3 linked regions of the Saccharomyces cerevisiae S288C genome follow. The gene in region 2 interacts genetically with the main gene of each other region. Each region holds a gene or a part of one and is shown on either strand. Other genes may lie near its edges.

Evidence for each region.
Region 1: mutations in MRH1 (region 2) and COX10 together harm fitness more than expected from each alone (negative genetic interaction), as found in Saccharomyces cerevisiae (2 studies listed by BioGRID).
Region 3: mutations in MRH1 (region 2) and PET494 together harm fitness more than expected from each alone (negative genetic interaction), as found in Saccharomyces cerevisiae (one large-scale study listed by BioGRID).

Annotation. Positions count from the first base shown.
Region 1 is NC_001148.4:223,853-227,689, reverse strand, and holds COX10 (protoheme IX farnesyltransferase), read left to right. Parts: upstream 1-1,948; coding exon 1,949-3,337; downstream 3,338-3,837. Other genes in the region: OYE3 (NADPH dehydrogenase), read left to right, coding at 319-1,521; mitochondrial 54S ribosomal protein uL24m MRPL40, read right to left, coding at 3,654-3,837. UniProt on the Saccharomyces cerevisiae protein: Catalyzes the first reaction in the biosynthesis of heme A, a prosthetic group of mitochondrial cytochrome c oxidase (CcO).
Region 2 is NC_001136.10:506,310-509,653, reverse strand, and holds MRH1 (Mrh1p), read right to left. Parts: upstream 1,508-3,344; coding exon 545-1,507; downstream 1-544.
Region 3 is NC_001146.8:704,203-708,108, forward strand, and holds PET494 (Pet494p), read left to right. Parts: upstream 1-1,936; coding exon 1,937-3,406; downstream 3,407-3,906. Other genes in the region: AGA1 (Aga1p), read left to right, coding at 1-1,674; RNA methylation protein TRM112, read left to right, coding at 3,586-3,906. UniProt on the Saccharomyces cerevisiae protein: Required for the expression of the mitochondrial gene for cytochrome c oxidase subunit III (COX3).

The sequences.
Region 1 (3,837 bases), on a different chromosome or scaffold from region 2:
AAGGTTTATTTCTTTCTTCTTTAATGTTCTTGGCACTTAGGCGGCTCCGTCCTCCGTCTGAAATTGCCGATCCTATTATTTGCGGAGGGCTCCTTAGAAGGGCTCCTTAGTAAGCAGTTTGCGTTCCTGATATAACTCCGTTCAGAACAAGGATAAAGTCGCAATAACCATTACTAAGCACAGTGTTGTAAGTAGGACAACTCGAACCTATATAAGGGTTGTGAACTGTGCTTGATTCTTGCCCATCATATGCAAAAAAGTACGTACTTGATATATACAACAACTGTAGTTCAGTATAGCGAAGTTTAAATTTAGAAGATGCCATTTGTAAAAGGTTTTGAGCCGATCTCCCTAAGAGACACAAACCTTTTTGAACCAATTAAGATTGGTAACACTCAGCTTGCACATCGTGCGGTTATGCCCCCATTGACCAGAATGAGGGCCACTCACCCCGGAAATATTCCAAATAAGGAGTGGGCTGCTGTGTATTATGGTCAGCGTGCTCAAAGACCTGGTACCATGATCATCACGGAAGGTACGTTTATTTCCCCTCAAGCCGGCGGCTATGACAACGCCCCTGGGATTTGGTCTGATGAGCAGGTCGCTGAGTGGAAGAATATCTTTTTAGCCATCCATGATTGTCAGTCGTTCGCGTGGGTACAACTTTGGTCTTTAGGCTGGGCATCCTTCCCAGACGTATTGGCAAGAGACGGGTTACGCTATGACTGTGCATCTGACAGAGTGTATATGAATGCTACGTTACAAGAAAAGGCCAAAGATGCGAATAATCTCGAACATAGTTTGACTAAAGACGACATTAAACAGTATATCAAGGATTACATCCATGCGGCTAAGAATTCTATCGCGGCTGGCGCCGATGGTGTAGAAATTCATAGCGCCAATGGGTACTTGTTGAATCAGTTCTTGGATCCACATTCTAATAAGAGGACCGACGAATACGGCGGAACGATCGAAAACAGGGCCCGCTTTACACTGGAGGTTGTCGATGCTCTTATCGAAACTATCGGTCCTGAACGGGTGGGTTTGAGGTTGTCGCCGTACGGCACTTTTAACAGTATGTCTGGGGGTGCTGAACCAGGTATTATCGCTCAATATTCGTATGTTTTGGGTGAATTAGAGAAGAGGGCAAAGGCTGGTAAGCGTTTGGCCTTTGTGCACCTCGTTGAACCACGTGTCACGGACCCATCGTTGGTGGAGGGCGAAGGAGAATATTCCGAGGGTACTAACGATTTTGCCTACTCTATATGGAAGGGTCCAATCATCAGAGCTGGTAATTACGCTCTTCATCCAGAAGTGGTTAGAGAACAAGTAAAGGATCCCAGAACCTTGATAGGCTATGGTAGATTCTTCATCTCTAACCCAGATTTAGTCTACCGTTTAGAAGAGGGCCTGCCATTGAACAAGTATGACAGAAGTACCTTCTACACCATGTCCGCGGAAGGTTATACCGACTACCCAACATATGAAGAGGCAGTAGATTTAGGTTGGAACAAGAACTGAAATCATGAATAAAGACATTGATGTTATGTATTTTTCATATTCCTGCCATATTTTTAATTACAAAACTCACATATAGATATTTATATTTGATACATCAATAATTATAACTTAAGGAAATAAAGATAGTTTTTGTCTTCACTTTTTAAAGTATTTTAAACATCATCCAAGCCAAAAAGACTCGATCTTTGTTTATATAGGGCAGCTTTCTCGTGCCCGCGCGCTGTTCAAAGGGAATAATAAAATGACTTTTTTATGCTTGCAAGCCCATTGACGTAAATCCACCGCAAGTGAGATTAATCAAAGAAGAAAATTCTTGATATCTGCAATAGACGTGATTCGGGCGTGATTAATATTCCTCATAGCGGGGTCTTTTTATTTTAGGCCTATAGTATCTCTTTTTTTCGATTTCTCCTTTTTTCCTCTTTAGATGAGTTACTTTCCTCGAACATATGCTCACTTGATGAGAAATGTTCTTGCTCATAATAAAGGGAATATATACTTACAAATTGGTACACAGCTGCACGATACTCAAATAAAAATTCGATTTAATGGAGTTCGTTATATTAGTCGGAATCATGGCGGGAAACAGCAACATATAAACACTGCGCCGATAGAATTTACTCCCAATTTTGGATATGGTGATAGAACCTCTAATTGCAATAAAAAGGTTGAATCGACTGCCATGAAAACGCTAAGATGCACAGATGATATATCAACTTCAAGTGGAAGCGAAGCTACTACCGATGCAAGCACACAACTTCCATTTAATGTCAAACTTGTAGACCCGATGGTAAGAAAATCTAAGAGACCATCTCACGCAATCAGCGAAGGGCTGAATATGAAAACTTTAAAGAAGAAGGTAATTATGCCATATCTTCAGTTGACCAAGCCCCGACTCACCATTCTAGTGATGTTAAGTGCCATTTGTTCGTATGCTTTATCTCCATATCCAGCCTCCGTCAATGAATTGTTATGTTTAACAGTAGGCACTACTTTGTGTTCCGGTTCTGCAAACGCTATAAATATGGGCAGAGAGCCAGAATTTGATAGACAAATGGTGAGAACTCAGGCGAGGCCCGTTGTTAGAGGTGATGTTACACCTACCCAGGCATTCGAGTTTGCCGCACTTATCGGAACATTAGGAGTATCTATCTTGTACTTTGGTGTTAATCCTACCGTTGCTATTCTTGGTGCTTCAAATATCGCGTTATATGGCTGGGCCTATACGTCTATGAAAAGAAAGCATATCATTAACACATGGTTAGGTGCCCTAGTAGGAATGGTACCTCCTCTAATGGGATGGGCAGCCGCAAGTCCGCTTTCACATCCGGGATCTTGGTGCCTTGCTGGTCTATTGTTTGCTTGGCAATTCCCACACTTTAATACGTTGAGTCATAACATTAGAAATGAATACAAAAATGCCGGATACGTTATGACTGCATGGAAAAATCCGCTCCTAAACGCCCGTGTGTCGTTGAGATACTCTATCCTAATGTTCCCTTTATGTTTCGGATTGTCTTATTTTAATATCACAGATTGGTACTACCAAATAGATTCCGGACTTATAAATGCCTGGCTAACGTTCTGGGCTTTCAAATTCTATTGGCAACAAAGAATCAACTATTCTGCAAAAACATTAAAAGATAACGTCAAGTTTAATAAAGGTCTAAGTGTAGCCAACATTTATGCAAGGAAAACTTTTATGGCTAGTGTATTGCACCTACCGGCAATTCTAATCCTAGCCATTATACATAAAAAAGGCCGCTGGGATTGGATATATCCTGGTGAAGCAAAGCGACCACAGGAACGATTTTAGCATTAGTACAATGAGATAAAGAGACAACGCTTAAAGGGCAGTCATTAATCTTGTAAATAAATATTTAAACCCTTTTATTGGTTAAAAATAATGTACATACGCACATAATTTATTTTTAAAGAAAAGATTTTGTAATTTGAAGTCATCACGTTTGCCCACATCAATATCTGAATATTCTTTGAACTTTACTTTATGCTTTCATATATACAGGTCGAATATAACTTATTTACTACGTGAATAGTGAAGGGGATATACTGATTAAAAAAATCACACTAGAGAATCAAATATAAAAATAGAGTGCATACACTTGGTACATTTATTCTCTTTTTTGTTTTTCCAAAAATTCAAAAACCCTCGCCCCAATAGCTTCCATGTCCTCTTCAGTTAGTTTTGGTACTTCTCTCTCAGCCAACTCCTTTTTTTCTGCCAAATGGCTTTTTCTTACCTCTGTTAGGGGCATCTCAGGTGCTACTAGCTTAGCTATATCTTTCGCTGTCAAG
Region 2 (3,344 bases):
GAACTATTTTTCTCGAGAATGCCGCGCAAAGCAGGCACCGTGCCTTTATCTTTCTTTTTTTTCCTCCAGCACTAAACCTTCCATAACAATACTATTAGAAAGGTTGTTATCAAATATTAAAATAACTATTAAAGTGATACAAATATATATATAGATGACGATGGGCATAAAAAAGCTCGTTTCTAATCATCAACTATACGTTTCTTGATCAAAATGCACTGAGCAAAATATTGTTATGAAAACATACTTGCTTGACGAAATGGATTAAATGGATCCATTAAATTAAAAAATGAGTCTAGAATTGCACTTTATGATAGAAAATAAAAATTCGACAAGAAATGGTGATAATTTAACGAACGAAAATATTGAAACGTCAGGAAAATAAAATAAAATATGATAAAAGTTGAAGATGGAGTAAAATAATCTTGTCAAATAATCAATAAAGACAGTTTTATCCATTTATAGGATTGGCTTGAAGTAGAAAATTCTTCAAAGATGATTGAAAGAAAGAAGAAAGTAGCACATAATTGACATGACGATTGGCTTATTCTTCAGACTTCTTAGACTTCTTAGATTTCTTGCTCTTCTTAGACTTCTTTTTCTTGTCCTTACTCAAGTTTGGTGTAGCAGCAGGTCTTGGACTAGCAACTGGAGCTTTTGGAGCCATCACTGCTTCGGCATCACTAGGTCCGAAATGGTAGCCCAATTTGTCAGCACCGAAGTGGTTAGCAATTGGAACCAATAAAGTTGGAATGAAACACATCAAAATAAGATCAATGATACCATAGAAAATACCGGCAGAGTCTGGCTGCAAAACGTTACCACCATCGGTAATACCGAAACAAGTTGGGTAAGCAATAATCCACAAGAACATAATAATGCTGAAGAAAACAAGGAATGTCAACCTGATATCGTTATCTCTTTGTTTCACCAAGTTGTAACTGGTGGTCATAACACTGATACTAACGACAATAGCAGCACCTAGACCGATGGTGTAGTAACCCCATTTGTAAGTGGAGTGAACACAGGCAGCGATCAACCAACAAACAGTGAAGAATTCAGTAATACAAACATTGAAAGCCATTTGCCAGAATGGGGTACCAGCTAGCATACAGATTTGAATAATTGGCCATGGCAAAGCTAAGAACCAACCAACGAATCTAGAGTAGAAGATTTGTCTGTAACCTGGATGTTCTTTTTGAGTAGAAGTTTGGACATGGTTGTACTTAGCCTTGACTGGAATCCAACCTAAGTTAGAAGCCATGGTGAAATAAGCGATACACATGAAAAAGTTTGGAGCAATACCGGTAAGGTAAAAGAATCTGTCATTGACTGGTTTTCTGAACATTAAGAATGTTAAAATTAAACCAAATAATAGGTAACAACAGAAACATGTCCAGAACCAATCGGAACCACGACTAGTGATGTGGAAATCCGCACCGGTTGGAGGGTTAATTTTGATGGCTTCGTTACCACCTCTTTTAATTAAAGTTTCAAAGGTAGACATTGTTATTTTTCTTCTTTGTTCTGTGGGTTAAAGGAAGATGATTAGATATTAAGTGAAATTAGGTATTAGTTAAAATTAAAGCAAAAAATTAATGTTAAAATAGGGTCAAAAAATTGGATGTAGAGAAAGAAAAAGTTATTGAAATAATAATATTTTTGTTCGAGGAAACTTTTTTTTTTTCTGAGTTTCTTTTATTATTCTTTTTCTTCGCAATGTTTCTTAACAATAAGGACAAAAGATAGTGACAACGATCTAAGAATTAAAATAAGCTTAATAATAAATAAAAAGAAGAACTTGAAAAGGGAAAAAGAAGAAATAACGAGAAGTGGGAAAGAAATAAGGATATATCTTAAGTTACCGAAAAAGACACTACTTATAAATGAAGAAACCAGGTGAAGAGATCCTTTGTTTTACGAAGACCGTATTTATACATTTCCCTTCATGTACATGTGTGATAAATTGGAAAACCACTTCTGGAATTAAACTGCTTTTTCTGACATCCTTGTGCAGTCGTTACTGCGATTATTTACATCTTTACTGATTCGTATGAGTGTTTATTTCCATTTTGCCTTTTTTGTCCAGGAAAACTAGAGATGCCGATTTTCGGTTAACAAAAAAAGTCCTGGTGAGGGAAAAAAAACGCTATTTTTTTTGCTCACCGCACTAAGAACTAGCCGGAGAAGACTAAGCTAGGAAAGGGATGGAACAGATGACGACGAAGAAGATTAAGTAAAAAAGGTAAAGGGAGACGAGATGGTGACAAGTATCTCTTTTTTTTATTGCCTTTTTCATATTACCTATTACCGCAAACTGATATATTTCTCAAAGGAGAAATAGTAAAGTGGAAGAGGTTTGGGTCTCTTGGTAACCGGACTACATTTGCAAGTTGCATCTTCCATCGAAGTATTAATTCCCTCCATCCTCTTCTCACTAACACCGGCACGATTTTAAAAATTTTTCAACTCCGTTGTTGAATTACGTATTCCTCTTTATGGTAAGCGCTAAGATGAACAGCGCTGAAAAGCAAAATTTGAATGCTTGAAATTCAGAACATGACTATTCGTTCAGTACTCGCTTCATTTGCATCCTTAGTTAATTTGGCCTGAATTACTTTTTGAATTCAAGAGATAGTGCATAAAATGCGGCCCCCCTTTCCAGCTTCCATAAATTGCGCTGATTGCATGTCTGACTAAGCTTTTTTTTTTTTTTAAGCGACCTTGTCTCGAGGAGCATAATAAAAAAAAGGGAGTAAGGTCGGCGGCAGTCGCTTTTATTAAACTGAAGTAAAACAGAACAAAAATTACTTAAGGGTCGCTAATATTACCCTTATCCTCTCAACAAAAGATAAGAAATTAATTGACCTATACCTATAATACCTAATAAACCCAAAAGTGTCTTGCTCTGATGTATTTGTTTTTTTTAACACAACCTTGCTACCTTAGGCCATCGAGAAGAGATTGAGGTCAAAGTGGAAGCGTTGGAAAAGAAGGAAGACCCATAGTATAATGAAGCTAGTTACCATCCTTAGACGACGCCCATATTTTTCAATTTCTCTTATTTTTTTTTTACGCAGCGTAGCAGTTATGGACAAAAGCCGGCCTGAAACAAGATTGAGATTAAATGAAAGGGCGTCTGCTTGTATATGAACTCAGTCGTCCACTCTTTTTAAAGTACTCTACTTATATAAAAAAAAAAGATAGGGATTTACAATGTTAATTATTACACGCAGCATCTAGCGTATGATTGTATGTCCCGAATGCCCCGTTATTACCCAATAAAGCAAATTAATACGGTCTTTTTATAAAGCTGTGCTTCTTTTTCGGGGTAGTTTTTCCGT
Region 3 (3,906 bases), on a different chromosome or scaffold from region 2:
GTCACCTCTACACTTTCGAGTACAACATCGTCCAATCCAACTACTACCTCCCTAAGTTCGACATCTACATCTCCAAGCTCTACATCTACATCTCCAAGCTCTACATCTACCTCATCAAGTTCGACATCTACCTCATCAAGTTCGACATCTACCTCATCAAGTTCGACATCTACATCTCCAAGTTCGACATCCACATCTTCAAGTTTGACATCCACATCTTCAAGTTCTACATCTACATCCCAAAGTTCTACATCTACCTCATCAAGTTCGACATCTACATCTCCAAGCTCTACATCTACCTCATCAAGTTCAACATCTACATCTCCAAGTTCTAAATCTACTTCTGCAAGCTCCACTTCCACTTCTTCATATTCAACATCTACATCCCCAAGTTTGACTTCTTCATCTCCAACTTTGGCTTCCACTTCTCCAAGTTCAACATCTATTAGCTCTACTTTTACTGATTCAACTTCATCCCTTGGCTCCTCTATAGCATCTTCATCAACGTCTGTGTCATTATACAGCCCATCCACACCTGTTTACTCCGTCCCTTCGACTTCGTCAAATGTTGCAACTCCTTCTATGACTTCTTCAACTGTTGAAACAACTGTTAGTTCACAAAGTTCGTCTGAATATATCACCAAATCCTCAATTTCTACTACTATCCCATCATTTTCCATGTCTACATATTTCACCACTGTTAGTGGAGTCACTACAATGTATACGACATGGTGTCCTTATAGCTCTGAATCTGAGACTAGCACATTAACCAGTATGCATGAAACGGTTACAACAGACGCTACAGTCTGCACTCACGAGTCTTGCATGCCCTCGCAGACAACAAGTTTGATTACATCTTCTATAAAAATGTCCACTAAAAACGTCGCAACTTCTGTAAGCACCTCAACGGTTGAATCCTCATATGCATGCTCCACATGTGCTGAAACGTCACACTCGTATTCTTCCGTGCAAACAGCTTCATCAAGTTCTGTAACACAGCAGACCACATCCACAAAGAGTTGGGTAAGTTCAATGACAACTTCGGATGAAGATTTCAATAAGCACGCTACCGGTAAGTATCATGTAACATCTTCAGGTACCTCAACCATTTCGACTAGTGTAAGTGAAGCCACGAGTACATCAAGCATTGACTCAGAATCTCAAGAACAATCATCACACTTATTATCGACATCGGTCCTTTCATCCTCCTCCTTGTCTGCTACATTATCCTCTGACAGTACTATTTTGCTATTCAGTTCTGTATCATCACTAAGTGTCGAACAGTCACCAGTTACCACACTTCAAATTTCTTCAACATCAGAGATTTTACAACCCACTTCTTCCACAGCTATTGCTACAATATCTGCCTCTACATCATCACTTTCCGCAACATCTATCTCTACACCATCTACCTCTGTGGAATCGACTATTGAATCTTCATCATTGACTCCGACGGTATCTTCTATTTTCCTCTCATCATCATCTGCTCCCTCTTCTCTACAAACATCTGTTACCACTACAGAAGTTTCCACTACTTCAATCTCCATACAATACCAAACTTCATCAATGGTAACAATTAGCCAATATATGGGCAGTGGATCGCAAACGCGTTTGCCATTAGGAAAGTTGGTCTTCGCCATCATGGCAGTTGCTTGCAATGTAATTTTCAGTTAATATCAGAACAATTTAATTCATTTATATAAACATATACAATCAATCGAATAAAAATACAACAATGTAATGAAAACGCTCTCTATTGATATGTATTTGCTGACGCTTATAAATTTATTAAAGTTTTATTTTAAACCGTTCTAGTGACTTCACGCGGGGAGATACATCCAATAGTAAATTACAAAATAAGGAAAGTATAAAACAAACGGATAACAACAGTAGCTTGGAGACAGCAAAGGCACCCGAGCAGGCGTGGAAACACACGATGCATTTGAAAAAGGGGAAGAGGAGTATTAGCACAGTATGGCGACTTTTATGGAAGCGTTTTTATTCCGTAAACTCTAAGACGAATATGCATTTTTCTCGAAGTAGGAAGAAACCAGTGACAAACTTCACAAGGACAAACGGACTTCTCCTGAGCTGTAATGGTGATACATTCCCATATCTGCGTACACTGTGGAGATACTTCAATGCGCCTGGTAATTTGATGTTTGTCACAACTAATATTGTCGCATTTATGGGCATTGTTACGTATAATACGCTGGTTACTATCAGCAGTGAAAGAGCATTCGAAGAGCAGATGATGGCGGCACAGGTGAGCCTGGCGAAACAGAGAGAAGAGCTCGAGACTACGGCCCTCAGCTTGCCACGAGATATTGAATTGAGGGGTGAAGAAGATGATATTAAATGGGAGCAACCTGATGTAGCACATGTCCGGGAAGATCCCTTAGTCGAGGAGCAGAACGCAAAGTTAGACACCCCTATAAAACAGTATACTTTAGGAGATTTGATTTTGAATAAGAGGGAAAATGTCACTGATTATGACTCGCAGCGTGCGAAGGCATCTATATTCCACATGCTATATGCTTATATGCTGTATCGAGATGTTATTCAACCCACGACCATGACTCAAAATAACAACAGCGAGGAATGGCGGCGTGAAGTCGAGCTTTTGACTAAGGGAAAAGAGGTACAAGGTACTCATCGAAGGATAGACGTGTTCTACGACCTGTGGAATAAAAATTTCGATAAGATAGTGACATCACCTGAGAAAGTGCAGAATTTTCAACTGCCGAACTGGTCTAAATACCCAACGATATTGAAATTCATCTGCACAGAACTTCACGACAACAGTTTGAAGACCTTGGGTGAGTTTAAGCAATTCTATGGAAAGGTGCGATCTAACGAGGTAAAAAAACTGTTGGGTCTTTGGCTGTACGACCATTCCTTCCTTTTCCCCCATAATATCTACGACAACAGAACCGAAGAAGATTTTTACGATATATTAATTAATGACTCCATGCAGGATAACAGGATATTCCAGAAATACTCTTCAATTGTAATGAATCCCTACAACGAACGTACTCAACTTTTTTTCCCTAATGTAAATTCTCCATCTGTCAACAAGCCAGTACCGAGCATATCTCTGGAAACATACACACGACTACTCAAGGGATATATCAACTTGCAAGAAACAGGCTGCAAATACGACTATAATGACAATATATTCAAACTAATCAGCATCCTCAAACTAAATTGTTTCCTACAACGCAACAAGAAGAAACACGCAGGGCCAACCGTCAGAATCCTACTGCCGAGAGATGAAGACCGCTCTCAAATACTTGGTACCATTTCGCAGGCAGAGAAGAGAACCTGTTATCAAATTCTAAGCAAAAATAGGGACGTGGTTGCGCTGCTGAAACGCATTTCTGATATCCAGGCGGACTCTTCTTAATAAAACATGTAAATATGTACCTCCCAAATCACACTCATCATCTCATACGAAACTGTATCTTTTTGGGTAAAATTTTCATCGATGAGCTTTAAAAGCAAAACTACTTCACCAGCAATGAAGCTACTGTAGCATCCTATGATCTCTTCGGCTCTACACATCATATTACTAGCCTAGTCAACATGAAGTTCTTAACCACCAACTTCCTAAAGTGCTCCGTTAAAGCCTGTGACACCAGCAACGACAACTTCCCCCTACAGTACGACGGCAGCAAATGCCAATTGGTACAGGATGAATCTATCGAGTTCAATCCAGAATTCCTTCTGAACATAGTCGACCGCGTAGACTGGCCTGCAGTGCTCACGGTTGCTGCCGAATTGGGAAACAACGCCTTACCTCCTACCAAACCATCCTTCCCATCTTCGATCCAGGAGCTCACCGATGACGACATGGCCATCCTTAATGACTTGCATACTTTACTGCTACAGACGTCCATTGCCGAA